Arabidopsis thaliana: one gene and its partner. The protein of the gene in region 2 interacts with the protein of the main gene of each other region in a pairwise test. Each region holds a gene or a part of one and is shown on either strand. Other genes may lie near its edges. The genes, in order: AT1G20910 and SDG14.

Region 1 (15,521 bases), on a different chromosome or scaffold from region 2:
AGATCAGTCTCTCGCCGGAGATGACAGTTTCTATGCGACAATTGGATCGGCGAATACGATTCCGGCGACTTCGGAGAAAGACTCAAAATCGTTGTCGACGATCGCTAGCGTGAGACTTGGGCCTTTGATTAATAATGTACTGATATATTGATTGGGCTAATTTGAGGCCCAATTTAATATACTTGGCTTGTAGACAAAGTGAAAATATAAGCGGATCATGACCCGTCCACGTCACTCTTGCGAAAATCAGGACATAAACTGTACACGTGGTCAGATCTCCACGTCGAGATATCTACGTGGCGAGTTCTAAGGATATTTTGTCCTGTCTTTTTGTGGGGTCCATTTATGGGCCCAAAGGCCTTCGACACTAACTCAGAAAGTCCAAAATAGTAAGGTAAACATGTGGGCTCCTTTATAAACCAAATTGGCAATTTGCCCATGTTGCTTCCTTCCTACTAAATAGTTAAATTCTATTCAATATATCACCTTTATTTTTGGTTTTTAGATTATTATACGTCAATAAAATCACCTTTTAATGTTTACTATATACAAATTATAATATTTAATCCAACAATATTTTCTAACACCTTTTAGTTTGATAGGTTTTCTCCACAAATTGACTAGAAAAAAACAATAAATAGGCATTTAGTTTTGAAAAGACACTTGGTTTTGTTTTATTCTCCGGCTTTTTATTATTATAAAATAATTTAAAAATTGGTGGATGGGGTGGTGGTAGATCACAAGTCGCCAAAGATGTGAGAATGGGATTGGGCATTATCGAAAAAGTTGACCCGTAATTTCTGATTGATCACACTACTTTTGAGTTTGTTTATAAAAAAAAATATAGTGGAGAGTCTGGAGACCACTGATAATAAATTGATTTTTACTAGTTCCTGTAAAAACTTGTGACTTGTGAGCATCATTACGTAGGTAAAAAATATTATTATACACATATTATTTTTATAGTAACATAGGTATATTTGGGAAACCAAGGTCTCCAGGTTGATAGGAGCAATAAAATACTGGTTTCAATTCATACTATTAGAGTTGTCTATGTAGAATCAAATGTCAAGTCAAAGTCGTAAGAGTTATTTATAAATATATATACTATACCTTCATATATAGCTTAATAATATATAGAGAAATAGAAGAGATGGCCACAAAACGCTATGATTAAGGATATGACCATGTAATTATTGATCTGTAGAACAAATTTACAGTCCATTATATTGTTAGATAAATAGATTGATGAATACTTAGTTAGGTTCACGTATTTTATTTAGGTTTGAATCCAAATGATAACATAGTGATAATGTTATCACAAACCATTAATCATATCATGGTACTTAGATTCTCATATTTATTTTTCGAGTAATGTAGATTTATTATCATACGACATACAATACGCAATACTGTAGGTCAATGGAATCAAATCGTTTTTTTTAAGATATAAAAATAATTTATTTATTTTTTACCAAAACAAATGAGGCACAATTTTAAGATTTAATATAGAAAAAATAGAAAAGAATATCAGGGGCGTTTTCATCTATCCACTTTATCAGAAGATCATTGCCAAATATTTTAACTAAAGCAATTTAATTTACTCTAATAATGTGCAACTCATCGTTACGTATTTCTTCTTGTACAAAGCTAACATGCGGGGCATGTTAGATTCCGTGCGACAAACTAAAAAGTATGATTTGATTGATAATTTGATATAAAGAGCTCGATTAGACTTGTTGATTGTTTTCTTATCTAAGGATTTTATGCATCCATATATTCATTATCAACTATGAACTATCAATGAATAATATTTCCAAAGTATGATATTTAGTAAATTAAATTCTGAATTCCTGATAGAAGGGGGAAAGTCTTCACCCGATTGATGTTCGAGTTTTTGGAGAAAATATAATCAAACTTAGCTGAGTTAGAAACTCGTTATAATACATGTTCTTTACTTGGTTTAAAAAAAGCCACGAATTGATAAATCAATACTTTTTAACTAACGTACATAAAATTAATGAGAACTGAGAGTTCAAGACTAGCTAGATTTTTTTTTTCATTTTATATACAGCGAACTCATTGCTTACACTTTCAAAACTATAAAAACAAAATTTAAAGGTGCTGTAGAGAATAGAATCGCTATGTAAGTATAAACTTTAAGGATGGCATTAATATCTTATATACATCTGGCTCGTGGTATTTTGATTGATGAGAAAAGAAAGCAAAAAAAACAAAAGAACATAAATATAGAAGTTAAATTAGCATACTGATTGATGGGTACGGTATCCCTAAATCATCACAATTTTTTGCCCATATTATTTATTGTTAAAGAGGGTATGATATTTAGTCTCACGACCTTTACTTTTTGTTTGATGTTTTTTTTTCTAGATATAAAGAGCCAGCATTTTATTCACCAGTTGTTGGATTTCCCTAAAAGAGATACCCTTTCGTGATCGCATGAGAGCAGACTGGGGAGATACATATATGGAGTAGGGGCGTAGGCTGAAGAAGCAATAGCTAGCCACAATAAAAAGAAGAACAATAACAGCTACAAGATCATCAAGGGATCAATTATGAACCGAAACCAAATTGATATTCTTTAGTGCCTCCGAACCTCACATATCTACTGCATCCTTACGAGATATTTTGGTCGTTGGGAAAAAAAAAAAATATATATATGTTTTGATCAGTTTACGTGTTTGTCGGAACAATTTAGAACTGCTTTTATTCCATGTTTGGTAAATATATAAACTCTTATGGATACCAAGAACTTAACTTAGTTTTCTCTAATGAGTTCTCTAACATTGAATTCCACGCGACAGTAACTGGACGTCTGAATTCATTAATACATATATAATCTTTAATTAATGTGAGAGAAATGTGTTCATGATCTAGACGAGTAGCGACAGCGTCATAAGAACTTAGGTACAGTCACATATTTATAGACTTGGATGACGTGTAGTTCTCTCTCTTTATGGCTTAAAATTAAATTATATATCACATGAAACACCTCTCACTTTTCTGTTTTGGGGGCAAATAAAACATATCTCACTTATTTTCGAAGTATCTTGATAGTTCCACACATTCCGTTTTCGATCGATAGAAAAAAATTGGACCAGTTTATGATTAAAATACCGCACACAAAAGACTTCACGTACGTTTTTGCTTTTAAGCATTAGAAATACGGGCAAAAGACGCGAAAGTAAGTTAGATAGATTCGGGAGGAGTACTGTGATTGGATAAGGTATTGACCAAGTACCGATGATCCGACCGCCTCCACGTGGTCACACAGCTTGGCTTTCACTTTCATGCTCTGACCTTTTGACCGCACGTGACTTTTGTCTGTGCACGTGCGGACCAAGCTAACGTGTCCGGTTCAAGTACATTGCACCGAGCCCTGACTCGCCAGGTTACGCCGATGAAAACGACGGTTCCTGGGTCCCACATGCCATGAGGATGGACGGTTCCGATCCACTTCCTACTTTCCTACTGAGATTGGTCCCACCATGGTTCAGGCCACATGCGTCCACGTTGAGGGAGCTTAGGTGTTACTATATGGGTGCAGTTAAAAATTAAGACAACCAGTCACGGTCCGATATGAGGTCATGCATTAATGGGTCGGATCGAGTTTAGTCAGTTCAATAAATTAAGATGAATAAGTCAATAATTATTTGAATGGGTTGATGCAATTGGTAAGTGTTTTCAGGATTATCGTTTGTTTCCCAAACAATTTTTGTAAATTAAAAGTTTGATATCATTTGTATGAAGATGATATATCAAAAAAAAATTTTACTAATACATTACTCATTCTAAATCAATAAATTATCAGTGTCTAGTTGTCTTTTTCTGGTATATTTTTTTGTCCATGTTAGAAAAAGCGTAGTTCTAATTAGTGATTCACCAAATTCGACATAAGGCAACAAAGTGGAGTACTTATCAATAATTTTTGAAAATATAAAGTAGTAGTATCAACTAATTTGACATTTTGATAATTATCAGCTAGTCTTATCACATTAATGGATCATTAACTTTCTCCAAACTTATCATCAAAAAGGGTCCACTCCGTTTTACGATATTTAAAGGAGTATACATGGGTAGATCTCACTATCTCAGTATAGAACAAAGGACCATTACCTAGATTGATTGTTCTACGTTATGCGCCTTATGCCCTCTTGACAATAAAAGTGAATATAAAGTACTTTAGTAGAACATTGATTCTTTGATATATAATTAGCTCGGGTTTAGCAAGATAATTTAGTAGCAACCAAAAAAAAAAAAAAACACATCACAAGCAGAATTAATCAATTGTTGTTCTGCAGCGCTTAAAAGTGACTAATTCTCTTCTTCTTTTTCTATAGTAAAGATGGTTCGTATCCGTTTGTTTATTATAGAACGTGGGTTCTTCTTAGAATATTGTATTCGCAAGCCATATACTATATATCTATTTTAAATTATTATACATTATATTTTTACAAAATTAGTTGACAAAACTAATAATAATACTATACATGTAAATTTTTTTTCTTTTCTTCTTCTATATAACTCACGTTCTGCATCCAGTTTGAATATGAATAATAACATATATCAGCAGCACTATGCAAATCACAAGCCTACAAATATCTAGTAATAATGCAAGTTTATACTAAGTTTTACAATAAAAAGATGCGTAAGTAAATTAAAATTCTAAATAAAATGACCTATAGTAGTATTTTCTCAAGTAAGAGAAGACTAAATAGTACTATTTCTCATTTTTACTTATACGAAAACCTTTTAATTAAGTTACTAAAACCATAAATAAGTTAGTAACATGATAATAACATTTATCAAATAACTTTTGTTTAAACATAACCTCCACGCGCCTTAAAGGGAATGTAGGATTCGTTTTAATCCTTGTGTACCCAACTTCCACTTGACATTTTTTTTTTTTTTTTTTTTTTGTTAAATGATACGTTTTCTTTAGCTCGTATATAATAGTATCTGATAAACAAATTGACCAAATGTTATCTCTTCTGTTAATCTTATCTCATGCTTTCAAATATAAGAATTCCTTCTCTAAATTTCTTTTGTATTATCCGATTGGAGCCAAACAAAAACTGCGACGAACCCCTAGTTTTCTTTGGTAGATCTTATGTAAGGATAACCACTTACACACATAAATTTTTTTGTCGGCATTTGTGTATATGTAATAAATAGTATTAATTTACTTAAAAAAGAACATATTATTCAAATAATAATTATTATATTAATGATATAATAAAGGGGACTGTTTCTCCGCTAAATTCTCGGTGTATGTCTTTGCTTTTACTTTCCTCGTTCAATGAGAGGACCAAAAATTTATTGCAGAGTCGCACATGAATCTCAAGCTTCTCTCTCCTTTTTTTCCCATAGCACATCAGAATCGCTAAATACGACTCCTATGCAAAGAAGAAGCTACTTCTTTCTCTTGCCCTAATTAATCTACCTAACTAGGGTTTCCTCTTACCTTTCATGAGAGAGATCATTTAACATAAGTCACCTTTTTTATATCTTTTGCTTCGTCTTTAATTTAGTTCTGTTCTTGGTCTGTTTCTATATTTTGTCGGCTTGCGTAACCGATCACACCTTAATGCTTTAGCTATTGTTTCCTCAAAATCATGAGTTTTGACTTCTCGATCTGAGTTTTCTTTTTCTCTCTTTACGCTCTTCTTCACCTAGCTACCAATATATGAACGAGCAGGATCAAGAATCGAGAAATTGATTTGAGCTGGCGAATAAGCAGTGGTGGGATAGGGAATTAGTAGATGCGGCGGCGATGGAAGGCGGTTACGAGCAAGGCGGTGGAGCTTCTAGATACTTCCATAACCTCTTTAGACCGGAGATTCACCACCAACAGCTTCAACCGCAGGGCGGGATCAATCTTATCGACCAGCATCATCATCAGCACCAGCAACATCAACAACAACAACAACCGTCGGATGATTCAAGAGAATCTGACCATTCAAACAAAGATCATCATCAACAGGGTCGACCCGATTCAGACCCGAATACATCAAGCTCAGCACCGGGAAAACGTCCACGTGGACGTCCACCAGGATCTAAGAACAAAGCCAAGCCACCGATCATAGTAACTCGTGATAGCCCCAACGCGCTTAGATCTCACGTTCTTGAAGTATCTCCTGGAGCTGACATAGTTGAGAGTGTTTCCACGTACGCTAGGAGGAGAGGGAGAGGCGTCTCCGTTTTAGGAGGAAACGGCACCGTATCTAACGTCACTCTCCGTCAGCCAGTCACTCCTGGAAATGGCGGTGGTGTGTCCGGAGGAGGAGGAGTTGTGACTTTACATGGAAGGTTTGAGATTCTTTCGCTAACGGGGACTGTTTTGCCACCTCCTGCACCGCCTGGTGCCGGTGGTTTGTCTATATTTTTAGCCGGAGGGCAAGGTCAGGTGGTCGGAGGAAGCGTTGTGGCTCCCCTTATTGCATCAGCTCCGGTTATACTAATGGCGGCTTCGTTCTCAAATGCGGTTTTCGAGAGACTACCGATTGAGGAGGAGGAAGAAGAAGGTGGTGGTGGCGGAGGAGGAGGAGGAGGAGGGCCACCGCAGATGCAACAAGCTCCATCAGCATCTCCGCCGTCTGGAGTGACCGGTCAGGGACAGTTAGGAGGTAATGTGGGTGGTTATGGGTTTTCTGGTGATCCTCATTTGCTTGGATGGGGAGCTGGAACACCTTCAAGACCACCTTTTTAATTGAATTTTAATGTCCGGAAATTTATGTGTTTTTATCATCTTGTGGAGTCGTCTTTCCTTTGGGATATTTGGTGTTTAATGTTTAGTTGATATGCATATTTTGGTTTCTCGTGTTTATTTCTTTTCTTCTCATATCTTCGGTAGATGTTACATGTTAGAGAAATGCATGTGTCTCGTTATGTTAGAAAATTCCTTTCCATATATGGCTTTCTTTTATTCATAGCTAGGGTTTCGTGTTGTACCCTATAACTATTATTATAATTAGCTCGATTTGATAGATATATAGGTCTAGACTATTCAATAATGAGTTCGTTTGTTCTTTTAAGAATTTTGAGCTTCACGGCGTATTCTTGATGAAATATTATGTGGGCACATCTCAGGCGCTCATTTGAATATTTTTACAATACGTCAATACGTTACCTTAATCATAGTATAATATAGTTCTTTCAACTTTTTAACAACCTCAATGTAGTATTCATTATAAGGTTAGAAAATTATTATACATATTGATCAATATATACGTTTTGTGCATCTAAATTCATTATTCGTACCATTTGAGTACTTGTAGCGTCTTTTAGCCGAGTATACCTTTTAAGATCACAACTTCTGTGTCATATCTATCTATCTATACGGTGTTATTGTGTTAAGAGTACTGTCATATATACCCATCTATATATAAGGTGTTAAGAATATGCTTACATATTGATCAAAACGTGCATCGTTCTAAATTTTGTAGTTAACCACTTGCCTGATTAGAACGTCTTTTTAGCCGTTTGTACTTACAGTTGAAAATTCCATTGATTGGTGTAATTGGCTATTTAATTACGACAGGGCCGTCTAAGCGATCTCGAGTCTTACCATCTAGGAAAACAACATGGGCAATTTTTAAACTATTTAGCGTTCATACAGTTTCTAGTGTTTTAAAAATACTACATGTATACCTAGTGGCCATGTTATGACCTTTTTCATTCGATCACTACAGTTACTTAATTACATGCATAAAATATGCATTAATGCTTCAGTTAATTAACCGTCGATCCTGTAAAATAGTTGTATCCAACATTATTCAAAGACAGGTTGGCAACAAGTACGTAGCTTTAAGCTAATATTTATAGGTCACATATGCACAGTACCATTTATGTTATAATCGTAGTTTTTGGTTTGAGATTTCCAACCCCTTAATTTTGGCTGGTATGGAGAATTTGTCTCAACTCTCAACCAACACTTCAAATACATATTCTGCTCTTTCTCAATCTATATATATTTCTGTCCCAACAATTTAAATATATATATGGAATATGGTTTTATACCGGTTTATATATTACTATTTTCGTGTTTCTTCGTCACTACAAAATATGAGTTTTTATATATATATATATATATATTGATAAAAAGAACGAGTAAATGATATTGGGGATACTTGTCTAACTAGAGAGATAAAGAGTGAAATTCTATATTCTGCTAAAACTAATCATATTCGTTAAATAGAATGGAATCATTATCTAACATCCCACTGAAAAGTAAACAAATTCATTCATAGAAGAATATGCTTCTGCTATTATGCAAAATATATAACGAGGGGATTACTTTTATTTATTTCATATCTCATACTACATCTTTATTATTTTCCATTTATTCATCTAATCTTTAACCATTTTTAGAGCATAGTATTGTTTTTTGGGATTTTAGTCAATGTATATTGGTTAAAGACAACCGTTACAGAGCACAGTAGAAACATGAAGTAGAGATTATCTCACGTACGTCGGTTACATACAAATTAGTGAACTTAACATGGTAAGATTAACAATGAACATAAATCATTTGTAGTGTCAGTTAAGAGCTAGTCTCTGTCACAACATAACAAAAAATGGGGTTTTGATTACCAAGATATGTGAAAAAGAGGAATGTTCCAATTCCCTAGGGACATATTTATTGACTAGGAACAAAAGGAAGCTTAAGCAAGTAGTAATATTTTTTTATTTTTCATGAGAAAGTTTTAAAGTTATTTAAATGATACCAACATACTAAAACGAATTATAGTTAACTACTTTCAGGTAGCTTTGTTACGCCTATTCAGCTATAGGTGCAATATGGGCATATGGCAATACATAGTTGGGGTTGTAAAGCTACTAAAATTTTGATGAATATGTTATAACTTAGATGTATGATTATTATTGATTGAATTAGTTCTAACTATTTTAGGATGATTTGTTTTTTTTTTACAACTGATATCATGGAACAAATTGCAGATTAATTTCACAAGTCACAATCTACAGTTCTTAGCTAAATATTATAGTGATCAGATGTCTCTTAGTAAAAAACGTTTTAGCTTTGCCAAAATATATAAAATATAAATTAGAATCAATACATATACTTGGAATCATATGACTTTTTTTTGGGGGCTTGGAGAAAGAGCATTGTAGTTGTAAATATTATCAAATTCCCATGCGGTCATGTCATGTGCCTTACATGCAATTGAGCTACACCAAGTTGAGAATCAGCAATAAAAAACCTTTTTTGATCACTGTGAAGTGTGAACCTTTTTGCATGATTAAAGAGAAAGAAAACAAGTTGAGAATAATGTTTCTTGTCTTAATACTGCAGTATTTTCTGATGACTCAAAAACTAGAGTGAGCTTCAAAACTTTTGAACCTTAAATTTTCGTCATGAATTGATGATACATATATATATATATATATAAACAAGTAATGAACCTTTTTTTCTTTTCTAAATCATATATTCCCGATCATGAACTTTTTAGATTCAGGGAAATGTCAATAAGTTTTTTGCTGTTTTCGTTTTCCCTTTAATAATATGCACCACCAATATATGCATACTTTCACTTTCACTTTTTGAAAACAAATCATCTCAGGAGAACTTTTGAAAACCGAAACGCATGAGAACCTAAAAGTATACTATTGGAAGTAGAACTAGTAGATGGGATAGGCAAATCTATTCATCTCTATTAAAAAAATATGTATAAGAAAAGCATAACATTCCGATTTTAGATCAAAATCATCATTGTTGGTTGCATCCTAAATGTCTTTGGAGCAGTTTCTCCTACTAATCTCAAATTATACAAAAGAGAAATATTACAGTAAGATCAAATGTTTGTTGCATGTTCCTAACTTCAGTCTTCAGATTCAAATCACAGTTACAAAACTGCTTCAGCCGCCTAACAATTTGGTTCTGAAACATATGAATTCCTAGAAGAAACCACGAACAACTGACCAGCTCTCTTGAAATCCATTACTGCTCAAACGGAACTCGTATGAACAACCGTCCATGCATGCTCATGACCGCGGATGTGTGAAGCGGATCAATTCTTGCTGATAAGTCAACAATCTGGTGAAAACATATCAAAATGACAGGAAGGTTCTCAGTCTCTGTATCAGTTCAGTTAATGGACATATCTGGAATATAGAAGAAAGTTTTACCTTTTTGAAGGGTGTAATCCCCCAAGGATTGTCAAGCTGCTCTGGCTGGCCTGTTATAACCACCTTTCCCGCAGGATCTGATTGAATTCGAACCTGAGAAAAGACAACGTATGTTCAGTAATTGGAACTATGTACTGATTTTACCAGAAAATACTTATTGCCTACAACACTGTGTACTGAGACTATGAAACTAAAGCCAACGGATCTGCTTTGGTAACCTACCAAATCGCTTTGTGCTTGCTTTGTATTGTCACAGTAATATGCATTCAAACAAAATTAAAAGACAAGGACTTATCAAGTAGCCTTCAGAGACAGGGTTACAAAGGAGTGCTCACCTCTTTGCGAAGAAGTCCAGGTACCAAGGCAAATATCTCGAAGGAATCCTTCTGTGAATTCAAGAAAAAGGAAAACAGATTTGGTAAGAATTCCATATTGGAAACAAACATCCAGTTTGCAAGTTTTTGGCGTTTCTTTAGCCGTTGGCAGAAGTTACTCACAGATTCTTTGACATTTATCTTCACCCAGTCAGCAACGGGTCCAACATCAACAACCTCAGCAGCCAACCTATCATGACAAAAAGGAAACCTTAACGTTAATCTATAGTAATATGTTCAGGTCCAGAAAATGCTACGTTTTCATCTCATTACTGCTAAGAGGCATTGAAAGAAGAACCAAAAAACTAATATAACTATCTTAGAATTGCAAATAAGAAGGAGAGATCAGCTTTCCGTAACTGTTTGTCAGCTTCATTTGTAACAACATGGTCCATGCTAGTTTGTTGTTTGTGTTTTTGCAGCCCTGAAAAAACCGTTTAAAACATAACGTTAAGCAACCCTCGTTGACAAAATAGCAAAGCCTTGAGAACTATTTTGTACCAATGCTTTTGAGTTTCTTGTGCTTTGGGGTGGAAATTAAGCCCTTATCCTGAAACAAAAGGAGAACATCATTTTACTTCCGAAATAAAAAACGACAAAAGAAATAAAAAGTCTTCTTCTTTCTACATGTGAGTCAGATTCCTTGGTGCATGAAAAAATTCTGCATAATGGAATCACAAAGTGCAGTAAGATTTGAAGTGAAACCTTAACAGCAGGCGCAGTAACCTCTCCAGATCCAACAAGGCGCTGCGCATGCCAACCTTGCATAGCACGAGCTGCAGAATCTCTTCGTGCCCTGCCTGACCCTGAACCTTGATGGCTACTTGGCTACAGCAAAGTCCTTGTATCAGGGAAGAAAAAAATATGGAGAAGGGAAAAAAAGGGAGGCACATGAATTTTCGTTTAGGTTTTCTGCAACTTATATGGTAATTTACTGGGTTATGCACACGGATTTCTTATGGCTTTTGTATCGAACACAAAATGGCTACAGCTTTCTTCAGTCAGATTGCAGATAGTTGGGTTTAAAAGGTTTAGCTGGTATTACATAAATGCTGAAAAATAACTCTTATGCTATCATTTCTTCAGTATCAACGACATTTAATCACAGTACATGAAACCTTCCCACAATAAATTGACAAGTAGATACTCTTCATTAATTTTACGGTGCTAGATCGATCTTCATCCAAACTTTCCATATCTACCATTATTTCTATATATTATTCAGTAGTGTCTAAAATCCAAAAGCCATTTTTTTAGGGGAAATTCATACCTCTTTCTCGACACTGGAAGACAGAATCAATGTTGAACCAGGAAGGTTAAGCTCACCATTATTCCTTAAACACTTTTCGTACTCCAAAAGTGCCTGCAATTGAAGCAAAGATATAGATCATATGTACCTGTATCTATATGATAAGATAGAAAGAAAACAAGCAGTGCATTCAAACTTCGAAGTGACAAAAGAATAGTCCAAAATAAAGAGCTACCTCAGCAAGACAAAGAATTAAACTAACTATTATAACACACCATACTAAGAAGAAGCACAAGGAGAATTGTCTGAAGTGGATAAGTAAAAATGAAGACAGGATAAATATACGATACTTATGCACAAAAACAAACTCACCTTCTCATAGAAATTGCGGAATGTGTAGGAGACTGTTGTGCATGTCCTGAATAAAGATAGTTTAACCAAATGTGGAAAAAGATTAGCATTATGAAAAATTGGTAAAGACTAACGGAGAGTCTAAGGAAAATATCAGCCATACTTGGGAGGATTGAAGGATTCTCCAACTTGCCGCCACAGCTTATTTGTGGTGACCTACATTACCATGAAAAAACAAAGGAATCTTAAAGACCATAAGTCCAGCAGAAGATTAAGAAAACATTGAATATATAATTCCAAATATAGCTAACAACAGTAAAATAAATCAGTTTCCCAAGAAAATATCGAACATTCTTTAATGTTTGATATGTTCGCTTAAAGTCATAAATCTTCTCTGAAAGCCACATCGTTATAGATACTCTTATCATAAATTAGCTTACGGATTCAATAGTTATACCCTATATACAGTTCATATGCCATCCACAATTCAAACAATAAAATGTAGGTGATAATCATACGGGCCAACTTAAATAACCAAGACTTATAAACTGACGAACTAAAAACGATATGGTTTTGGATAATTACCACTTCATAGCCACCTAGGTTCACGACTGCTCGCCAAAGCCTACATTGGATGCAAAAGTGAGGCACTGATTAACCAGATATATGGGTTTATTAAGAACAAAAGCACCACTTTTCCAACAACTCACTTGAGAATGTTTAAAGGCTGTCCATAAAACTTAGGAGGTTTAAATTCCAGGAAACTCTCTTTGTAAAAGGCCTCCACTTCTCTTAGAAACGCCACTTGTTCTACCGGTGTCCCTGCTTCATCAGTTCCCTGTGCCTGTAGAGAAAGGTGAACCAGTAAGTGAACAATCACCACATAATTTTCGACCACAAAACAGTGAAATCCAATCCTGAGAAAACAAAAAGACACAGGCTTTTTGAGCCAAATTGAAAGAAACATAGCCTAGTACCTCAGAATCCAGCAGCCAAGTCTTCCTCTTTTTGGCATTCTCACCTTCAGTCTTAGGACTCAACATTTGCACCCTACGAGTCTTCCTTTCAGAGTGGTCAACAACTCCAACAGCACCACCATTCATGCCATGACCATTATTAGCCTGACCATCTCCAAGAAGAAGGGGCTGCGGGATTTCACTAGGGTTGTGATCATTTTCTGGCTCCAAAGGTTCTTCCTCTAAATACTTTGTCTCAACAAGGGCACCAAAAGTCACATCTTGCTCTTGCATTTCGGTATCCACCATCTTAAGCTTCGATTTCTGTTGTGGAGTAGTCAGTCACAGCAAGACAAGGACAAAAGAACAAATCCAGAAGAAAAAAACGAAGAAGATAAAAAAACTGTATATAACTAACTATTGGTGATTCCAGATTAAACAAAAAGGAATTGTCTTTCTTCTCCGCCTGGAAACTATAGCTTCTCTCTCTCTCTCTCTTCTATCTCTAAACGCAATTAAGAATTGGAGCAAACTCACTCACTCTATTACTACAAAACCTCATCCTAATCAAAACTACCACAGATAAACAAGCCGAGAAGACCTTTCAGCTTCCATAGAATACAGAGAGCAGCAAAAAAAAACATATGCTTACCAGTTCTGCAGCGACGGCGACGGCGAGTAAAGGTTGGTATGAGAACGCAGGGACTCCGACGGCGCGCTAGGGTTTAGCAGCCGGAGAAATTGAAAGAAGCTGGAGGAAGAAGAAGAAGAAGGAGATACAGAGAGAGAGCTGAAAAAGGAGAGACAATTCGAAAGAGGAGAGACAATCTTATGTTAATGGAGGAAGGTATTAGTAAAAAAGATGGGATGGGGGATGTTATGTGGTTTTTAACTTTAATTTGTTTTACACTCAAAAAGTAAACAATTTCTTTTCTTCTTTTTGTATCTATTAGTCTTTTTAGACTTTCTTAATTTTTGGTAAATATAGGATTTGTAACCTTTTATTGTTGTTGAATGTTGGGATTTCTACTATATGTAATAACCACGAAAGATAAACATTGAAAAAGTTTTTTTTTTTTTTTTGCCAAAGGGTGTTATTATATATATGAAACATTGTACAAAACATATATACATAGAAGAAAGGAGCTATATGAAATTTAGGTTTACGAAATTACGACAACGATTACGGAGGAAACAAAGAAGATCGAAATTAGTATAAATACGATACAAAAAATATTAAAAAACTTAGGTTTATAGAAAAGTTTATGAATTAATTTTATATTTTTAACAAGAAGTTCAAGATGATAATTAAAATATATGATGTTGAGACTTGGAAATAAAATTTAGGTTTCATGATTTGGAGTTAAGATGTGAAAACTATATCATAATGGAAATATCTATATATACATGTTTGGAGGGGATTTTTGAAGATAATGTTGAAGATTTGAGCCATAATTCAACAATTAATTCAAATGGGTGGGTTTTACTCGGCTTAACTCTGTTCAGATCCTGGATAACATGTTTAATTCAGTTCTGATCTTGGATAACATTAGTTTTTGGAAAAGTTACCTAAAAACTAATAATTAAAAACGAAAATTAATGATTTAATTACCAAATTTAATATAAACAATATCTCTAAACTAACCATATTTCTTATTTACCTTAACTAATTTCCTAAAATATTTCTACCTAATTTAAACATAAATATATAATTCTTCTTTCAATTTTATTTGATCTTATACTTTATTTATTTTGAATTTATATAAAATATATATAGTTAATAAAATATTATATTTTTTTCTGAATATGATGTAATTCAAATTTTTTAAAACGGACATATATTATTCAACCTATGAAGAAATAATATGTGTACAATGTCCAACATCGCTTAGAAAAATTGGACAATGGTTCAGACCCATATTATAAAAGGACCAAAATGATTCTGATTATGAATGAGCATGAAGCTTGATTTATCAGGCGTCCAAAATTAAAATAGTTATCCGATTTTACTCGGATTTTTTATTTTAAAGAATTAAAACTTTAAAATGTTTCAAAAAATTATAAATATTATAACTTTATCAAATGTTAAATATTATAATTTTAAAAACTTTTTATAAAGTTTATCTTTAAAAAATGCTTTAAATATTTATAATTTTAAAACTTATAAAGTTTTAAAAATTATAAATTGAATTTTACAAGAAATTTAAACATTACAAATATAGAAAAAATATATTAATACGAGATGATATATTACAGGAAAAATCTTAAAAATTGGGTCGATATTGTATTTTTTTAAGTTTCAAATTTTATAATATTGAAATTTATAAGAAAATGACAAAATTATGTTTAATTTCACGGGACTGGATTATATGGTAGGACGGGTTTGGGTGGATAATAATTACGATTTTAGAATGTTCTATATCG
Region 2 (16,959 bases):
CGGCAGTTGTCCTAACTACTTAGAATCAAAAGTTAAGAAGCACGGAGATGTATAACTGCACCTTAAAGCGCTCATTCGTAATGATGTCGCACCCAGCATGAACCCATACGTTACGCCCATCACAACACACGTAATACATCAAATCACGTCAGCTACATATTGTAGATGTAATAGTTTATAACTCAGGTCAGTATTTCACCGAGCATGGTCAAAGAGACTCTTGCAGATGCCACAATACTGATTGGATTTCCACAACTGAAACAAAAAAAATTGGATTCAACTCTTTTTGGCCAAAGAAAACTGAAGAGTGAGGAAATTTTGGTAAGAACCTTTGAACAGTGTCTGAACCATGCATAGTAGATTAATGAGCAGAAGTTGAGAAAAAAGGATAGTAGAAATAAATGGATATGAGGCCCATATTATTTCAAGCCCAATTGTGTGGGCCTCAGATTTTGTTTGAAGCTCATTAATTTAGGCCTAATGTGGTAAGCCCACATTTATTCTCACCAAATTTTGCCAAACACATATATTTCCTGATATTACCTATTCTGATTATTTTAACACCAATTGCCAAACACATTTATAGAATCCTAAACTTACCAGAAAAAATAATTCAAATAATAAACTAGAATTAATGTGAACAAAACTTGTAATATATAAACTGGCATTGATGCATTTAAATACAAAACAATTAAAATGGTTATATTGAAACCATAATTAAATGTTCATACAAAACAAAGATTTGTAAATTTAGACTAACAAAAGTTAGGTGTTGCAACTGCTTTGACGAATGTCTTTTATAGTGATAAACTAAGTGTTCTAACTAATAATATGTGCTTAGACTAAATTTTGGCTCAAATTCAAATATTTATATGAGTTGATGGCTCTTTTCATCGCCCGTGGTGAATACTAGAAAGGACTACTTTTCATTTTCACCGTAAAGGTAAAAGATTCATACACCCTTGGCATCATCTGTAAACTTTGTTATTTTGGTTTTCTTACTCTTTGTGCAGACTCCATGGTTAGATAACATGCATTGTGTTTGGACAAGTCATTGAAGGTATGAAGCTTGTGAGGACACTTGAATCCCAGGAGAAAGGTTGCAGAATCTATGCCTGCGGAGAGCTCCCGATGGAAGCTTAAAAACCACCATTAAAACCGGTGCATTGTCATTGATATCCTTGTTCTGTTTTCTTATTATGACTATTCTTAATAGAGTTTCTCTTTAAACCTGAACCATGGTTGCAACCATGGCTTGTTGAACAATTGGCTTTTCTCGTCTTTTTTGTCTTCCCATTATTGAACCGGAACATCAAACCAGCTCATTTTTTTTTTTTTTGAATAAAATGTCAAATTATACTCAAAAGAAAAAATATACTTTTTACATCAGCTTTTTTGATATTTTGATAATAAGAGAAACAGAGCTAGATCAAAAACAGAGTAAATAGAATTGAGAGAGCAAAAACAGAGTCTTCTTTCTTAGAGGATGCTATGGACGCATGGCAAACCAGCTCATTTTTCCTACATCTCATTCATTATAAAGCGCAAGTCATCATCTTGCCAAACAGCAAATAGTCTAATTTCGTTATAGAATGGTCCAACACTAAAGCTTCTTAAATATTCATTGGGTTTGTGTTGTGTATATAAGTTCAATATTCAGTCAGATTATTCTTGCAACATATTCTGGGGACAAATAAATGTTACTGAAGAGGAAAAGGATTTGAATACTAGAAATGCTTAAAGCTTTGTGTGACTTTGAGACAATGCACTGTGAAGGAATCAGAGAAGTTGCTGGGAGATTCTGATGGAAACAATGTCACCGTCTGTTCCTGCTTTCATTGTGTGGTACTTCACAAGGATTCCTGCAATTTAGATTTGTAAAAGAATTGTAATTGTGTTTCTTACTTGCTAGATAAAGATGGTTGATTATGCAAAGTGATTTGGACATGTACCTTCGTTTTCTTGCAGTCTTGTGTGAACAGCAACAGCGTGGGGTGCGATAACTGCTTTAGGTTGGGAATCATTTGACTCTCCGGTCCAAGACTTGAGGTTGAGAATACCTATTATTCATGTGAAAATGTATGAGACCCAAGGAGAATGATCTAAAGAGGAGGAGTAAAGGAACAGAAAAGTAATGTAGATTTGAAGTTACCTGAATATGAAGATTCTTTAAGGTGTTTGAGGTCAAATATGGCTCCACAAGCTGCACTTGCGTTTTTCTGCAACTTATGAGATCCGATCAGATTGTAATCCCAGCTTCCATCTTTGTAGCCTTCACTAAGGAAGAGTTCAATGTGCCTAGCATCAAGAGTTTGCATTGTTCCTATACATAGTAAAACAGAAACTCTCTTAGTTGCAATTTAGTTATTTCATAGACTAACATCAATAGAAACAGACTAGAAGTTGATTAGTGTCTTTTACCATCACAGGTACTGAGGTCACAAACAGGGCAACGTACAAGCTGTAAATCTGGAACATGAGATAAGCCATGTTATAGTTTTCTTTTTCTGCAGTAGATAAAGTTTCTAAAGAAATTGTTCTTACCTGCAATCCAAATACCGCTTTTGATGTCGTTGATAAGACATGAACCACTGGATTGTAACATCCGTTCTATGGTTCCTTCCCTTGGGAATTTCAGACGACCACTCAAACTCTCAGTCAGGAGTGAAGTTCGAGAGTCAAGAACAAAGGCACCTATCCGCATCCAATCTATAATGACAGTGTCAAAACGAGATCAAAATGAGGCTGTGATCAGCAAATGAAGTACTTCAAAGTCAAAGATCTGTACAACATCTTAACATGACTAAGAAGAGAGTATGATGGATCCAATTCAAGGACTAACCAATATGCTTCTCCTTCTGACGGAACAAGTAAGAGTGACTCCCATCTGCAGTTTTCCATATCTTTTCTTAGTTTACCATTGTAGAAGAATGTATCATAAGTCCGAAATGGATGTGAAACTTACCAAAAGCTGAAGCATAAATCTTAATCCAGGTGGAAGAAACGGGAAACGGCACAGGGACCTGAAGATCACGCAAGCAGGCAAACCTCCAAACAGTATCCTCCATTGCGATCTTATAGAACCATTTGTTTGTTGCTCCCAGCTTCACCAGTGATTTACCATCCAAAAACCTTGAAATGTATGTCCATATATCTTGCTCATACCTGATTTTGCAGAGAAAATTATAAGATACGCTGATATAGAGACTTAGATCTAAGAAACGTGATATAGCGATGTGATTTTCAAAATTCTTCCTCGTTTGAATCTGGATTCAGTTTTTGACGATTGAAAGCGGAATAATATGAAGAAAAACTCAAATCCCAGGTTTCAGCAACCACACAGTCACGATCAGAGATCGATATAAGCATCTGAATCTCATACAAATCAAATTGATTCCAGAAGGTACCGAAGATGATTGATCGAACTCTATCTCCTAGATCCATCCAATACAGTAAGATTAAACGCCGTACAAACATTTCAAAATCAAATTCGAGCTCAACCCAAACTCACACACACAAATAATATCTGAGAATAGATCTATTTCGTTCATAGGGGAGAAGAAAATACCATGAAAAGCGAGACTGGTAAGTCTGAGCAGAGCACCGTGGAGATACACAGCCACGAATTCCTCTGAGGATCTTCCCGTTCTTCTGGTCGCTGCTCTGAACGATTCTTCTCTTAGCTCTACCATCTTCTTCTCTCTGAATATCGTTCTTCTGTTCGTTGCTCTGCACCAATTTTCTCTTCCGTCCACCATTTCCTTCTCCCACCGGAGCTATCATCTTCCCTCTACTATCTCCTTCGGCATCACTAGATCTCGTCTTCATTCTCTCTCTCTCTATCTCTCTTCTCACTCAGTATCTCACTAGTCGCTAATTTGTTAAGCGGAAAATTGTTTCAGAATTTGGTTTTTGCTCTGAACCGTGTAGCTGTGATATATAGCCGCGAGGGAGACACAGCGAATTTGAAAATTTCGAATGTCAAATGACGTATATACCCCTGTAACAAACTTTCTACCTCTGTAGATTTTAAAATTTTTAAAATACTTTTCAATTTTAGTTAGAACCCGGTTTAGCACCAACAGACGTAGCATTAACCGAGAGGGTCCCAGTGAGTGTGGTTTCCATGATTATGAAAAATCAAGATAGTATGGATTTTTTTTAATAGAAAATTCAGAAACTGTATTATGGAAAATGTTAAAAGCTATATTAACACTTCAACATTTTGGAACTTTAGGTTGTTGGCTGTGAAGTTATTTTCTTAGAGTCGGTGAATTCTAGACATTTACAAAATTGCTACGCCGGAAAAGTATCTAGCTGAATGTACATTTAATGAATCAATCGGAAAGAAGCCAGCATCATGTCAAGGGATTTCCCGTAAGCTAGCCGCCGAGGAAACAAATCGGTTAGCTTCCCACCGCCATTACTGTTCAATTAGAAAGCAAGTTTGAACGTTTGCAAGAATGGTTTAGACTTAAGAGAGCTCTAGTTCATGAATTTGCGGCAGTTTGGAGCTTTACAAAGGCAGGGCACTTTGATCTCTTCAGATTCATCAACCTCAAAGAGATAATCATACCTGTAGAGAAATAGGTTTTCATGATCAAGGTTAATAATGCATATGGATTTAATCTATATCTTATGAAAAGAGAAGCTGAAGAAATGTTTTACGTAAGCTCTTCCCCAGCTGCGACATTGGTTTTTGCAATGAGGACGATTCTGTTGTCTTCTCCATCACCCATACTCACTATACGAGCATAGCAATTGGGCATACACTGCACAAGACATAAACATCCTTAGTATTAATTACCAGGTTTTGATCTCGTGTGCCAATTTAGGGAACTTACTGAATGATTGATCAATCGTGCGATGTTCCCAGAGTCTGTGGCATCAATTACTATCTCTTCGCTTATCTTGAATAGCTGCGTTGTTGTTGTTAGACAATAAGTTACTTATTAGATGCAGCGGTTAATGTTTTAATCTAAGCAAGCAAGCAATCGGAACTTACGTAACAATCTTTGCCCTGCGAACGATAGTTTGCCTCTCTCAGATCTGCAACACTTCTCCTAACTTTCACCCCACGATACTCGATGATCTGCACAAGAATTTTAATAATCAGTAGTTAGTTTGCCTCAAGAATTTCAATTTAGCCATATCAAAACCACGAATAATACAACGTAAACTAAATACCATTTCTCCTTCTTGAATACTTTTCCTTGCAAACAAACCCCATCCATGTATGCCAGATTTACCAAAGCAGACTCGAAAATTTTCTGTCCTCTGAAGAAGATAATATATTGTTTATAAATATTCTAGGATAACAAGATGGAGAAAATATTAACTCTTCATGAATCAATGTTTACCTGCAAATGTTTTAGCCGTTCTCTGAATGATGTAAAATCTGCTTCCTGGTGTGTAACAAGGTAAATGGAAATTAAGATCTTCCTAAGATATTCAGAAAACGTTGCCCCAAGAAAGCAAAACACTGACATGAATGGAGCTCGGAATGAGAAACTTGCCTTAAAAGAGTTTAGATTCTCGATTGCACTCAAAGAATGATGGCTTGGTCCCTTAAGCCTGTGGGATATAGCCTCCAGATCAATCTTCTGAAACGTCAGCAGTAAAAGATATGAAGTAGTAGCTTTGCTAGGGAATAGTTAATAACGAAAGACTCTCCAACGTCCAAGAATAAACAAGATCCCCAGATGCATACCTTTGTGTTTGATCTACTATAGATACGGCATCTTGCTGCAGAAAGAGAATCAAATACACGACTCTGTTCAGCTTGGGTTTGGGTTTGGAAACCTGGAAGCTTCATCTTCTTGGTCAAAACGAGTCTTGAACCTTTGGCGCGCCCATATTGATTCTGAAGCAAATTTCTAGAGCCAAATACTCCTGAGGGTGTGTGCACAACTACAACACTATCTGGATCTGGCTTTCTACATAGTAATGATACAGGCGATCAGTTGGTCCCAGTATCACATAACAGGTCAGTTAAAGAATATGTCGGAGAAACAAACCTGTGAAATGAACAGTAAACTGACTTCCTGGTTCTCTGCACACCATTTTTTTCCAGGCAGTGCAACTAAATTCCATAGACAAAAACATCACTTACACATCCCTAAGATGATTAACTAACAGGACAGAACACCTTTGCAAGGGGTTTAACGTGAAAAATGAAGATTATCATAAGCACAGAGGCTAAGCAGTTTAAGGACTTGACTAACCTCCATGTTGTAACCTGCCCGTGATGCACACATTGCGTGGAAGTGAGTTGCACACTTGCAGCAATGAACGCAGGAACCATGTGTCTGCTTACAAATTGTGCAAACCTAAAAGGAATTTTCAGAAAATATGAATGATGTATAATATAATAAAACTTCTAATAGAACATGTTGGTTATACTTTCCACTTCTAGCATTCATTTATACCTTAAGAAATGAATTTGCTGGAATTTTGAAAAGTCCAACAGCAGGCTCCATATTTTCATGATTCAAAAACCCAACTTCCGGTCGGAACCAAGCACATGTTACATGAACCCACAAACCCTCAACGTCGCTTGGTTTTAAAGCACCACCTACATAATGGAAGAGTTCAGGAAAGAACTAGAAATATGGAAAGTGAGTTCAATTTAGAGCACATCTACCCAAAAGCGAATTCTCAGAATGACTGTATGGAACCTTGTGACAGGACAGTCAAGAATAAAACATCACTAATGCAAGATCAGGAAAAAAATCATAAAGAGAGCTAATTCTGCAGTAGTACCTTTTACAGGACAAAGACAACAATCTCTCTCAATGTCTGGTGTTTCACATGCTCTGCATACCCAGGAAGTGAGGTCCTGAGATTTGCTTACCCCATAACATTCTTGGTGCACAGCCACTTGACACCTGCTTACAGATTTGGTCAGATTTATGACTCATGTTTAGTTATAAGAACGCTGTAGAATTCAGTATAACCAAATTATGCCATTAAAGTAACCTGTTACAGATGATCATTTTATTTTCTTCCCAGTCTTCTACCCATCTGCATACAGCACACCTTTCAGTCGTCCACTTAGCCCTGACTGGCTCATACTTTTCTGTGCATATAAAATAAGTAGTAAGCAAGTATCTTAGCAATTTTAAACTCCAAAAGAAGGACGCCAAGAATTAAGATATACTCTACCTTCTAGCAAAGAGAGCATCTTTTGCTTATCCAACATCTGGGTTTCTAGAGTATAGGTACTGAATTCTGCAATCTGTAATATCTTGTTGTCAGTATTATACTTCTTATAGACATCATGCATGTAAATTTCAGGGGTATATAAGGGAAAGTTTATGAGAGAGTTAAGCATAAGGGATGTACCCATTTTTCTAGAGGTAGCATTGTGTCTTTCACTCTTACACTATACTTCCACTTTTTGGCTCTGCAGCCTGTATGCCGTTCCCATTCACTTGGTGACTGCTTCCTTGACCCACATGAACCACACTTGCACTCAATTCTGAAAACAATAGTTCCAAGATAAATGTGTTGTTTTAATCTCTGGAACAACAAGAGAATGGTAACAGAAGCCTAGGATCAAGCGCAGAATTGTCGTCTTCAGAGAAAAAATCATCTTACGGCATTGCATTGTACAGTCATGGACAAACAAAATCCTGCTCAAATGAGGAAATTGAAATAAAGATGATGCATCTAATACTTACGCATGAAATTTTCTGATATATGTCCCTTCCATGCCATTACAGACTACAGTAATCGCATCAGGCAGCCCAGTCTCTGTTGTCTTTTCTGTAGACCTGTCCCAAAGAGGTTGTGAAGAGGAATTTTGCAAATTAAAGAATTAGCAATAGAACAATGCAAATAATAAAAGCAGGAGAAGATATTTTTTTCGAGAAGACTAAAGTGAGAGAACATGAGATGTTAACAACATACTTAAACACTGAGTTCTGTTCTTCTAATATTGTTGGCGTAAGCTCGTGTTGGACTTTACAATCAGGGCAATAGTAATTGTTGTGCTCCAGTTCCTTAAGATGAAACCAAATTAGAACAGTCATTCGACAATAGTCTTCAATACTTAAAATCAAAAGATAAGATGCACGGCGATGTATAACGGCACCTTAAAGCGTTCATTCGTAATGTTGTCGCATTCAGCATGTACCCATACGTCACACCCATCACAACAAACCTAATACATCAAATCAAGTCAGCTATATAGATATTATAATTTCTTACTCAGGTCAGTATTTCACCAAACATGGTCACAGATATTCTCACCCAATCTCCATCATCTGAAGGGTGCCATATTCTCTTGCAGATGCCACAATACTGATTGGATTTCCGCAACTGAAACAAAAATTTGGATTCAATTCCCGTCGATCAAAGAAAACTGAAGAGGGAGGAAGTTTTGATAAGAACCTTTGAGCAGTGTTTGCATAAAAGCTCTTCCGGTTGTGAGTCTTTAGTCCTTTTTAGAGATTTTAATGGCATTACTGAGCCACAACCGTCGCATGTCCTTATGTCCTCATGATATGAACCCTACACAATAATTAAATCAGCAAATCGTTTAGGGGAAGGTATTTCCAGTAACTATAAAAGAGTCAGATACAAACAGTACATCTACGCCTATGTAGTATGTTTAAACTTCATGACTTAGAACAGAAAGTATATCACCAGACGTAGACACTACAAGATGCTTATAGAACTGTCCAGAATTGATTTACTTTTGTCTTCCCAAAACAATTAGAAGAGCAAACTTGAACATCTAACCAAAAAAAAGAAAAGGAATATGTGTCAAGAAAACGTGCCTGAAATCTAGAAGCAGGTCCATAGTCCTGGTCGGATTCCGTCGCAGAGGAATCTGGGGAGATGATTTCAGCATCTCCAAAATTACCATTTTCTGCTAAAACTGCTTCCTCTAGTGCCTTGTTAAATTCACTTGCCTTGTAATTGAACAAGTTTGTCTGATCCTGAAATCTGAAGAGATGAAAGACTAGTAAGGAACAAGAAACAAACACACAAGTATGAAAGATTTCCAGAAAGAGCGTCTCATGTACTTACTTGTCCATAAATTCCGTAAATGGATACACCATCCCTTGTCTTACCCATGCATAGTCCTGTTAATGACCACAAGTTTTCAGAAAAAAAGATAGTAAAAATAAACGCCAGCTTGAAGACAGATTAGGATTAAAGAGATTACCCTCTGAGTTCCATCCTTGGAGTACCCAAAAAACATGACACAAATTGCGCCAGGGACGCAATGTTTCAAGACCCCATCAGGCGCTTGTGATATCGGATCGATCACCACAGCCGGCCATGCTGGGAATCTTTTCCCACACTTGGCCCACACAAGATCGCCAACCGTAAATTCCTCTGGTTTGTACACGCCCTTACGCGAGGCGTCGGACTTTTTCGGCATACCAAAGTTAGCATCGTCGTAGGAAATTTGAACATCCCAGTAATCGCAATCTACTTCACTGCTGTCTCCGTTATCCTTACGTGGAAACACCTTCGAGTCTTTGCTGCGATGCAATTTCGAGCTTCCACTGAAACCTTTGACCTTCTTCCCCAGAGATACGTCGTCGTCATCATGACTAGACTCCGTCGACTCTCCCTTGCGACGGCTAGATTTCCATGTACCAACAATGGAGTCCTTGAACCTAGAAGGAACCGCTCGAACTCTGCCACGCGAAGACTTGGACTGGTCAGAGCAAACTTGTTGAGATTCTTCTTTGCTTGTCAAGGAGCTTGAGCTACTAGTAAGAAGTTCTGGTTCTTTGCTACATGGTTGATCCACGGTTGCTCTTTGTCTCTTCTTATACACTATAATCTCACCCTTTTTCCTCCCATACTCAATTTCTGAATCAATTTTGCACCGCTTCAGATTCTGATTCTCGAATGTCGTCAAGGTCCGTTTCAAAATCATATCCTACCTAAGCAATCCTCGCCTATTCAACATAAACGACTATCCAAATTCCGATTCCAAAACCCTAATTTCATCAAACAAAACAGATTTCGCACTTCGGACCTCCGGAAGGAAAAAGAAGAAACTCGTAACGTTTAAATTCCTCTCGCAAATTGGCTCAATAGTCAACGAACCCAATGCGAAACCGCTTCTCTAACCCTAAATTCGAAAACGAAAACCAAATTCTCGTTTCCCTCAACAGGATAGAATTAAGAAATCAAACGACGGAGAAATCGTTAAACTCTAAAACGACGGAGAAACAACAAATCCTCCTCGTAGATTCCCTGGAGAAAATTATCAGTCGGTTTCAGTACGGAGAAGATAAAACCTTAAAATCGACGGCAAGGGAAAACAAAAGAGGAGGAGAAGGATCTTTGTGTTCTGATGAAGGAGACACACACCGTCCGTCGTCGGTTTATATATTTCTCCTTATTATTATTTTATGGTTAATTCTGAAATTAATTCGCCTAAACAAATAATAAAAACGAAAATAAAAAAAACGAATATGCTGACGTGGCGGTTGAATGGAACAGTGTTTGGCTCCAGGGATTGGGGACGAGGGAAGACTGCGAATTTTCAGGCGTACGAGAGCGCCAAGTCGAAATCTTCCTTTTCATCAAATCTGACGTGGCGCATCAATAAATAACTCTCTCGTTTTTCTTCTTGTCACACAACTTATTTAGAAAAATCGAAGCTTGTTGGGCTACATATTGGGCCTACGATGTTTCTCGTGGAACATTTTGACAATTAATAAAAGAAACAACTTCGAGTTAGGCCCAATATGAACACTGTATGTTTCTCATGCAACAACATTTTGACATTACCAGACAATGGAGGAAGATGATCCTTTTTTCATTTCAAATAAGACTCAAAACTTATCATCCAATTATACGTTCATGATTTATATGAAAGATGAGAGATTGCATTTGCATACAAAAGGACCATATTTTTGTTAATCGCTCCATAATGTTAGCCTTAGGGTCTAGGGACGTCTATGCACATTTACAAACTCATAAGGAATTAAAGAATTACGTATATTTCACTTTCCAGGAACAACAACCTTCAAAACTCAACTTACATGACAACAAATTGAGATCCAAAAAGAAACAAACCTTAAAAAAACAAATATCACCATGTTGCTCTAAAGTCTAAACCAAGACCGATTTCCACTTGAAAATCATATTGCCGAACCAAAAAAAAAAAAAAAAAATTACAACACATATGGACTATAAAATCAGTGACCAATGATTATGGGGAAAACAAAAAAAGTACCTTTATGTACAAGAAAAAAAAAACAGAAGATCTTGAATCAAACACTAGTACTAGAACTTGGATGTGTCTCAAAAGAGGGAGGGCTGCGAGAAGATGGTGAGCCGATAGTGCCACGAATCCTGAATATTTCAAGAACAACAAAAGCAAGTAACGTGACTGACAGAACAAATCCATATCCAATTTTCCATCCATCTCCTCCATTATCCGCCATTCGAATTCCAAGAACAATGTTCACTGCTCCAAAAAAGAGAGAGATCCTCCCAATCCAATGATGATACCAATTCCAATATCTCCTCATCTTTGTCTCCTTCTGTGGCCGTGCAAAGAAAGCCAAAACCTGAAGAGTGCTAAGGACTAGAAGAAAGATCCCAATGCCTCGATGCGCAGGTATATCCGGCTGGATCCTATTGTAAAGCTGAATCCCAAGAATAACTGCGGCTAAACCGAAGATAAAGCCCGTGAACTGAAAACCGATATGAAGATAGTACCAAAGAGGGTCTTTATGTCTTAGATATCTTGCTAGGATTGCCCCTACAGGAAGTAAGAAACCCCATCCGAGTATCGCCATTACTCCATGTTTTGTCTTCTCCGTAGAAGTTGTCGTCTTTATGGAGGTTGCTCCACTAGCTGCATTGACCAAGAACATACAACTATTGAACTCTCCCCTGTTTTTAACATGTATAGATTAGACTAGTATATACATTATATTACCTTTGGAAAAATCGACGATGACTGTAGTTTTATCATCATGCTTAGTCAAACGGCCTAGCTTGGAAGGATAAGCAGTGCTAAACGCTAGAATGACAGCTCTCCGAGGAACTCTAACGGCGAATTTCACCTGGAAAGCTAAGTAAATCATTGCTCCGTGAAGAGCCACCACCGGCGGGACTTTTTGTAGTTGCAATTCTCCTTGATCCGGCACAACTTGGTCTCTCTCCGTTCCTTGGAGATAGTATTGTTTGATTTTGGCGTGACCCTTTTTCGAAATCCATCCGATCATCGCGCTTGATCCAACCATTCTTCCTTCTTTCGAGAATCCAATCCCAACCCACCCGGTTGTGTATAAAGCCGATACTATAATCGTCATCACATTGTCTCTGTTTTCTGAGTACTGCAAAACAGAGCAAGCAGCGTTGAAAATCAAAATTATGGGTTTTAGGAAAAGTTGGTTTATGTTTTTCGGTTTACCCGTAAGACGAACGTGTTCCAAAGAGGAGTACAGGGCATGTTATCGGAGATATTGCTGTACGGTGGAGGGAGGAAATCGGATAATCGGTTTGCAAAACAGAGATTCTGGGTCGAATCGTTTATGACATTGACGTCATCTGCAGCTAAGAAAGGCAGATCTTGTCCGATTAAGAAACAGAGGATGTAAAATCCGACCAAAGTTTTCATGGTTGGAATCGAAACAGAGACGAGAAGGAGCGAGGAACAATGGAAGCTTTTTGGGTGATGGTTACTTGAAGAAGAAGAAGAGTGATTGAGTTTGGTGGTGAAAGTGGTTGGAGATGGAGATCAATCATAATCATCAAATTGTTTTAAATCAGCTCCGGTTGGATTTTGAGAAAGATACTTGGAGTTGATGTTTCACTGGTTAAGTATCGGACAATTTATGTCCCCTCTGTCACTAAATCGACACGTGAACCGACAGAAAAATACCAAGATGCTATGAAATTATTGCTTTTTCTTTGCCAGTTAAAACAATTGGCAATTGCTATTTGAGGTTGAGAAATTACGAATAGATTTTTAAGATATGGACAATCTGGAGTTTTTTACTTTGCTTATTTAGGGAAAAAAAGAAGAAGAAGACAGAGATGGGAGCGAGAGAGTGGGGTCGTAAACTGGACCATAGTGGGAAGTGGATCAGTCTTAGTCTGAATCATTACTCATTAGGTATATTTGGTCAGGATAGTGCCACGATCAACATCATCTTTTCTTTTCTTGGAGGAGATATTGGAAGGGAACTTGGAAACAAAGTAAACAATAATAAATTAACCAATGAGTACAGCTTTACAGCTTCCATGAGTACCAATCACACAAACAAACAATTTCATTTGTTCGTTGTAAAACACAAACTCAAATGAGAAAAAAGGTATTGTGTTGCAATTGCAAAATGGTAATGTAAAACAATTTAAACAGTATTACTATTACGCATGGCGGGATCGGTATCAGTCAACGACTAAGCGTTTTATGTAATCGATATCATAATTCAAAATTATTCAACTTTAACATAATAAAAGGGATTAACATAATAAGTTAGCCAATATGGGGATGTAGCTCATATGGTAGAGCGCTCGCTTCGCATGCGAGAGGCACGGGGTTCGATTCCCCGCATCTCCAATTTTGTTGATTTTTTTAATTTTAGTTTGCTCTTCTTCTTCTGTTTGCTCTTCTTCTTCTGTTTGCTTGCTCCTTTTGTTCTCTCTTTCCGGTGGTTTAAAACAGAGAGGAGATCACGTCATATGTTTCTTCAGTCCATGAAATCTATTTATTTTTTGAAAAATAATTTGGTCAACCATATTCTACTGCGCCAACCATCGTCTTACAAAAACTTTTATTCAGAAACAATGATAACTCGAACACCGAATACAATGACAAATGGAAAAAAAAAAGAGACAAAAAAATGTAGAAGGAAACGTATCCTAAAGAAACAAAAAATGGAGTGTGAAGAGAGGGTCTCGTCTCTCTACTTGGACCAAGCAACTGCTTCAATATCCGTTTGAGCACTTCTATACAATTCCAGCCTCTTCGCAATCGAAGTCCTTCGCTGCTGAACCGCAGGATCCTCATCCAACAATTTCGACAATTTGCTCATCTATAATTTTTAACACCAAACCATTTTAACATTCTTACTCGTATCTTATACAATTGTCAATTTGCTCATATAGGTTTTTTAGTATATCTTTATTGTTACCTCTTTCTGGCCAAGTTCGGTGAAGAAGATGTCTAGAAGGCTTCGTTTTGCTTCACGGACTTGACAGTAAACAATGGATTTCGGTATGGAGTTTCTCAAGCCAGCGCAGACCATGTTCACATATGACAACACATTTGAGCCGATTCTTCGGAGATAAGCATCGTTGTATCTGTCGAATATCGAATGTGTCGGATTCCCACCTTTTTCAGAATCTTGCGGGAGTTTCCTGAAGAACTCGACCGTTAAGTAACCAGACTCCATGTCCACTAGTAACAGAGTTGCTTTCCTGCTTTCGTCTCTCATTCGATCCAATGAATCCACGGCTGCACCTGATACTTCTACTCTGAGTGTTGGATATTGCTTCAGTTCCTGTAGTCATGATGAAAACACATAATCATGCTTCAAAACTCATAAGTGTTATTGTTGTTGTTGGGTTTATGACTTTGAGCAGAGATATTCTTACAGATGTTTCGCCCATGGATTTGTGGATAAGATCCTTGAGAATGGAATGAACCGCATCAACAGCTGCTTCAGCAGGGCCTCTAATGGAGACTAAGCATGATTCTATGAGCCGGCGATAACCTTGTTCAGGAGCTATGAGATGAGGTTGATATCCATCTGCTTCAGTGATCAGTTTCCGTACATTGTCCATGGAGAGATGTTTGTCGAATTGCAGTCTTTTAATGGCAGCTGGGAATTGATTGTCGAACACAGAATTTATCTTTTCACCACCTGAACGCCTGTAAGGTTGTTAGTGGTTATCAATTATAAAGCTAGAAAATTGAATTAGCAACAATCCAGAAACATGCGGATGACTTACGTGCCATCCAGGTGTTCTTTAAAAGTTTGATCAAAGGCACGGCAAATTTCCATGATCATATAAAGTTTTCCCTGCATTCAGGAGAATGAGTATTAACGAAGGAGGGATGTGAAATGAGACAAGAAACCGAAGAATGAAAGGCTAAAAGGTCCTTAAGACAGAAGATCCTTACACCAGCATCAGCTGCTACAGGCTTCCCAAGACGGCTTAGCTCTGTCTCTAACTCGGAAATTGTCTTTGTGATAAGAGACTGAAGTCCCGGGATTCTAGACTTGATAACAACTTCCAAATGCTGAAAAGTTATAGCTGGTTTTAGAGCAACTACAAAATCTTTTATGCTAAAATCTTCATACATACCAAGCTCCTCAATTATATACCTTAGAGAGCATCTTTCCTAAATACTCTGAACCCATTCTTTCAGTTAAATGTCTGTACTCTGGGCTAGTCTGGAAGTAATCACGTTCACGCCGACGAGCAGCAATCATATCAACACTTTTATTAATGTCAGCTTGAGACCGGTTTACAACACCAACCCAAGGATACCTTAATTTGTATCCCCTTCCTTCAAGTATCTGAAATCTCCAAACATTTAGAATACTTAGGGACTGTTAAATATTCACTAACCATTCTTTAGTGAGATTCTCATATTTATCTTCATTGTGTCCTTTCATAATGCAGTTAGAGATAGATTGCTTGCAGATTAGACGATAATCTTGACTAATGATATGTAGAATGTATTACTATCATCTGAATGTAAACTTACATCAACAGCATTAGTGCCTTGGTCCATGAGATCAATTTTTGTTAAAACTCCAAAAGTCCTGTCTCCTGATAGCATAAAGTGCAGCGAAGCAAACATTAAACAACAAGAATCAATCAATTCGAAATACTATCATCATCTAAGCATTGATGATGCTAATCAATCATATATACAATGCTCCATAGAACTTAAACCATATTTACCATGTCCTAGTCGCTTATATCTCACAAAAAAGAAGCTCAAAGTGAATTCAGAAAGCAGTTGTATCAAAATATAAAAAAGGAAGAATCTGGCACCTTTGGGATCAACTTCACGAGAGATCTTAATGGCATCAGATGTTGCAAGATCCTGATTTGCAGGGGAAATAGCAAGTATGATGCAGTTGGGCTGTCAAAAGGTGAATGATCAATCTTTGTTATTTGCTTGAACACACGACCTTTAGAGGATAGTAGCATCATCTTTCCACAATTGAATTCTGCTACATACTTGTAATTTCTTTCAAATCATAGTTACCTTCTCAATAAACGATCTGACCATGTTCTCGATGTCTTGAACAATGCTTTCAGGCTGGCCATCTACAACATAATTGGCACCATATTTCATTACTCTTTCACTAAAGAGGACTTGGGGTGTGGGATATCATGGAAAACAAAGACTGTCTCACTTACCAACAGCTACCTTTGTTAGCCCAGGAAGATCGACAAGTGTCAAATTCACAACTACAAACATTTGAAGTAAATAAAATCGTTAAGAGTATGGAGACTGGAAGACAAATGGGAAAGATGGTAGAAAACATAAATTTAAGATTTGATTGAATTTCACACCCTGTGTACAAGAACCTAAGGATCCTAAAGCATGTTTAGTTAATTTCTTAATGCAAATGTAGGAAGTACAAAGGCTTCTCTTACCATTAGGAGAGAAGATACTGAGATGAATTGGGACTGTGGATATTACTTTGCTGCTGCGACCAGTTTCACGATCTGTCTCATCCGAGATCTCCTGCCTCACAGCAGCTACATAACAAGGAAGAAGATGAGAAGAATGTGGGCACGTAAACAACACTACAGATACTGCAAGCAGTCACAGGAAAACTAAGGAGCATAAACTCCTCCCAAACAATACCAAAATCTGTGAACTTCTTCTTTGGAAGATGCATAAACTCTGCATACTCTTTCCCTTCATCAATTCTATGAAGCTGCAGGACAAGAGGTCTGCGTGTAACAATCCCTACACGGAAGACATTGTTGTTCTAA

Evidence for each region.
Region 1: the proteins of SDG14 (region 2) and AT1G20910 interact in a two-hybrid assay, tested with the Arabidopsis thaliana proteins (one large-scale study listed by BioGRID).

What each region holds. Positions count from the first base shown.
Region 1 is NC_003070.9:7,267,230-7,282,750, forward strand, and holds AT1G20910 (ARID/BRIGHT DNA-binding domain-containing protein), read right to left. Parts: upstream 14,008-15,521; 5' UTR 13,750-14,007; intron 13,422-13,749; 5' UTR 13,407-13,421; coding exon 13,119-13,406; intron 12,986-13,118; coding exon 12,852-12,985; intron 12,767-12,851; coding exon 12,727-12,766; intron 12,358-12,726; coding exon 12,305-12,357; intron 12,209-12,304; coding exon 12,163-12,208; intron 11,905-12,162; coding exon 11,812-11,904; intron 11,370-11,811; coding exon 11,247-11,369; intron 11,092-11,246; coding exon 11,043-11,091; intron 10,966-11,042; coding exon 10,902-10,965; intron 10,732-10,901; coding exon 10,665-10,731; intron 10,554-10,664; coding exon 10,503-10,553; intron 10,261-10,502; coding exon 10,168-10,260; coding exon of another isoform or gene 10,090-10,167; exon of another isoform or gene 10,076-10,089; coding exon 9,980-10,075; 3' UTR 9,714-9,979; downstream 1-9,713. Other genes in the region: ESC (Putative AT-hook DNA-binding family protein), read left to right, coding at 5,795-6,730.
Region 2 is NC_003074.8:22,846,648-22,863,606, forward strand, and holds SDG14 (SET domain protein 14), read right to left. Parts: upstream 10,326-16,959; 5' UTR 9,902-10,325; coding exon 9,176-9,901; intron 9,093-9,175; coding exon 9,037-9,092; intron 8,953-9,036; coding exon 8,784-8,952; intron 8,515-8,783; coding exon 8,395-8,514; intron 8,323-8,394; coding exon 8,254-8,322; intron 8,165-8,253; coding exon 8,096-8,164; intron 8,004-8,095; coding exon 7,912-8,003; intron 7,776-7,911; coding exon 7,683-7,775; intron 7,481-7,682; coding exon 7,345-7,480; intron 7,238-7,344; coding exon 7,165-7,237; intron 7,079-7,164; coding exon 6,979-7,078; intron 6,888-6,978; coding exon 6,763-6,887; intron 6,575-6,762; coding exon 6,429-6,574; intron 6,330-6,428; coding exon 6,225-6,329; intron 6,083-6,224; coding exon 6,018-6,082; intron 5,937-6,017; coding exon 5,711-5,936; intron 5,604-5,710; coding exon of another isoform or gene 5,601-5,603; coding exon 5,361-5,600; intron 5,278-5,360; coding exon 5,188-5,277; intron 5,093-5,187; coding exon 5,006-5,092; and 8 more. Other genes in the region: AT3G61723 (PHD finger protein), read right to left, coding at 62-139; RMF (reduced male fertility), read right to left, coding at 1,780-1,862, 1,953-2,060, 2,153-2,323, 2,422-2,469, 2,545-2,709, 2,843-2,887, 2,966-3,165, 3,569-3,828; AT3G61750 (Cytochrome b561/ferric reductase transmembrane with DOMON related domain-containing protein), read right to left, coding at 11,250-11,839, 11,924-12,323, 12,401-12,607; DL1B (DYNAMIN-like 1B), read right to left, coding at 13,899-14,027, 14,127-14,495, 14,590-14,866, 14,947-15,017, 15,119-15,238, 15,324-15,518, 15,710-15,774, 16,003-16,093 and 4 more. UniProt on the Arabidopsis thaliana protein: Histone methyltransferase.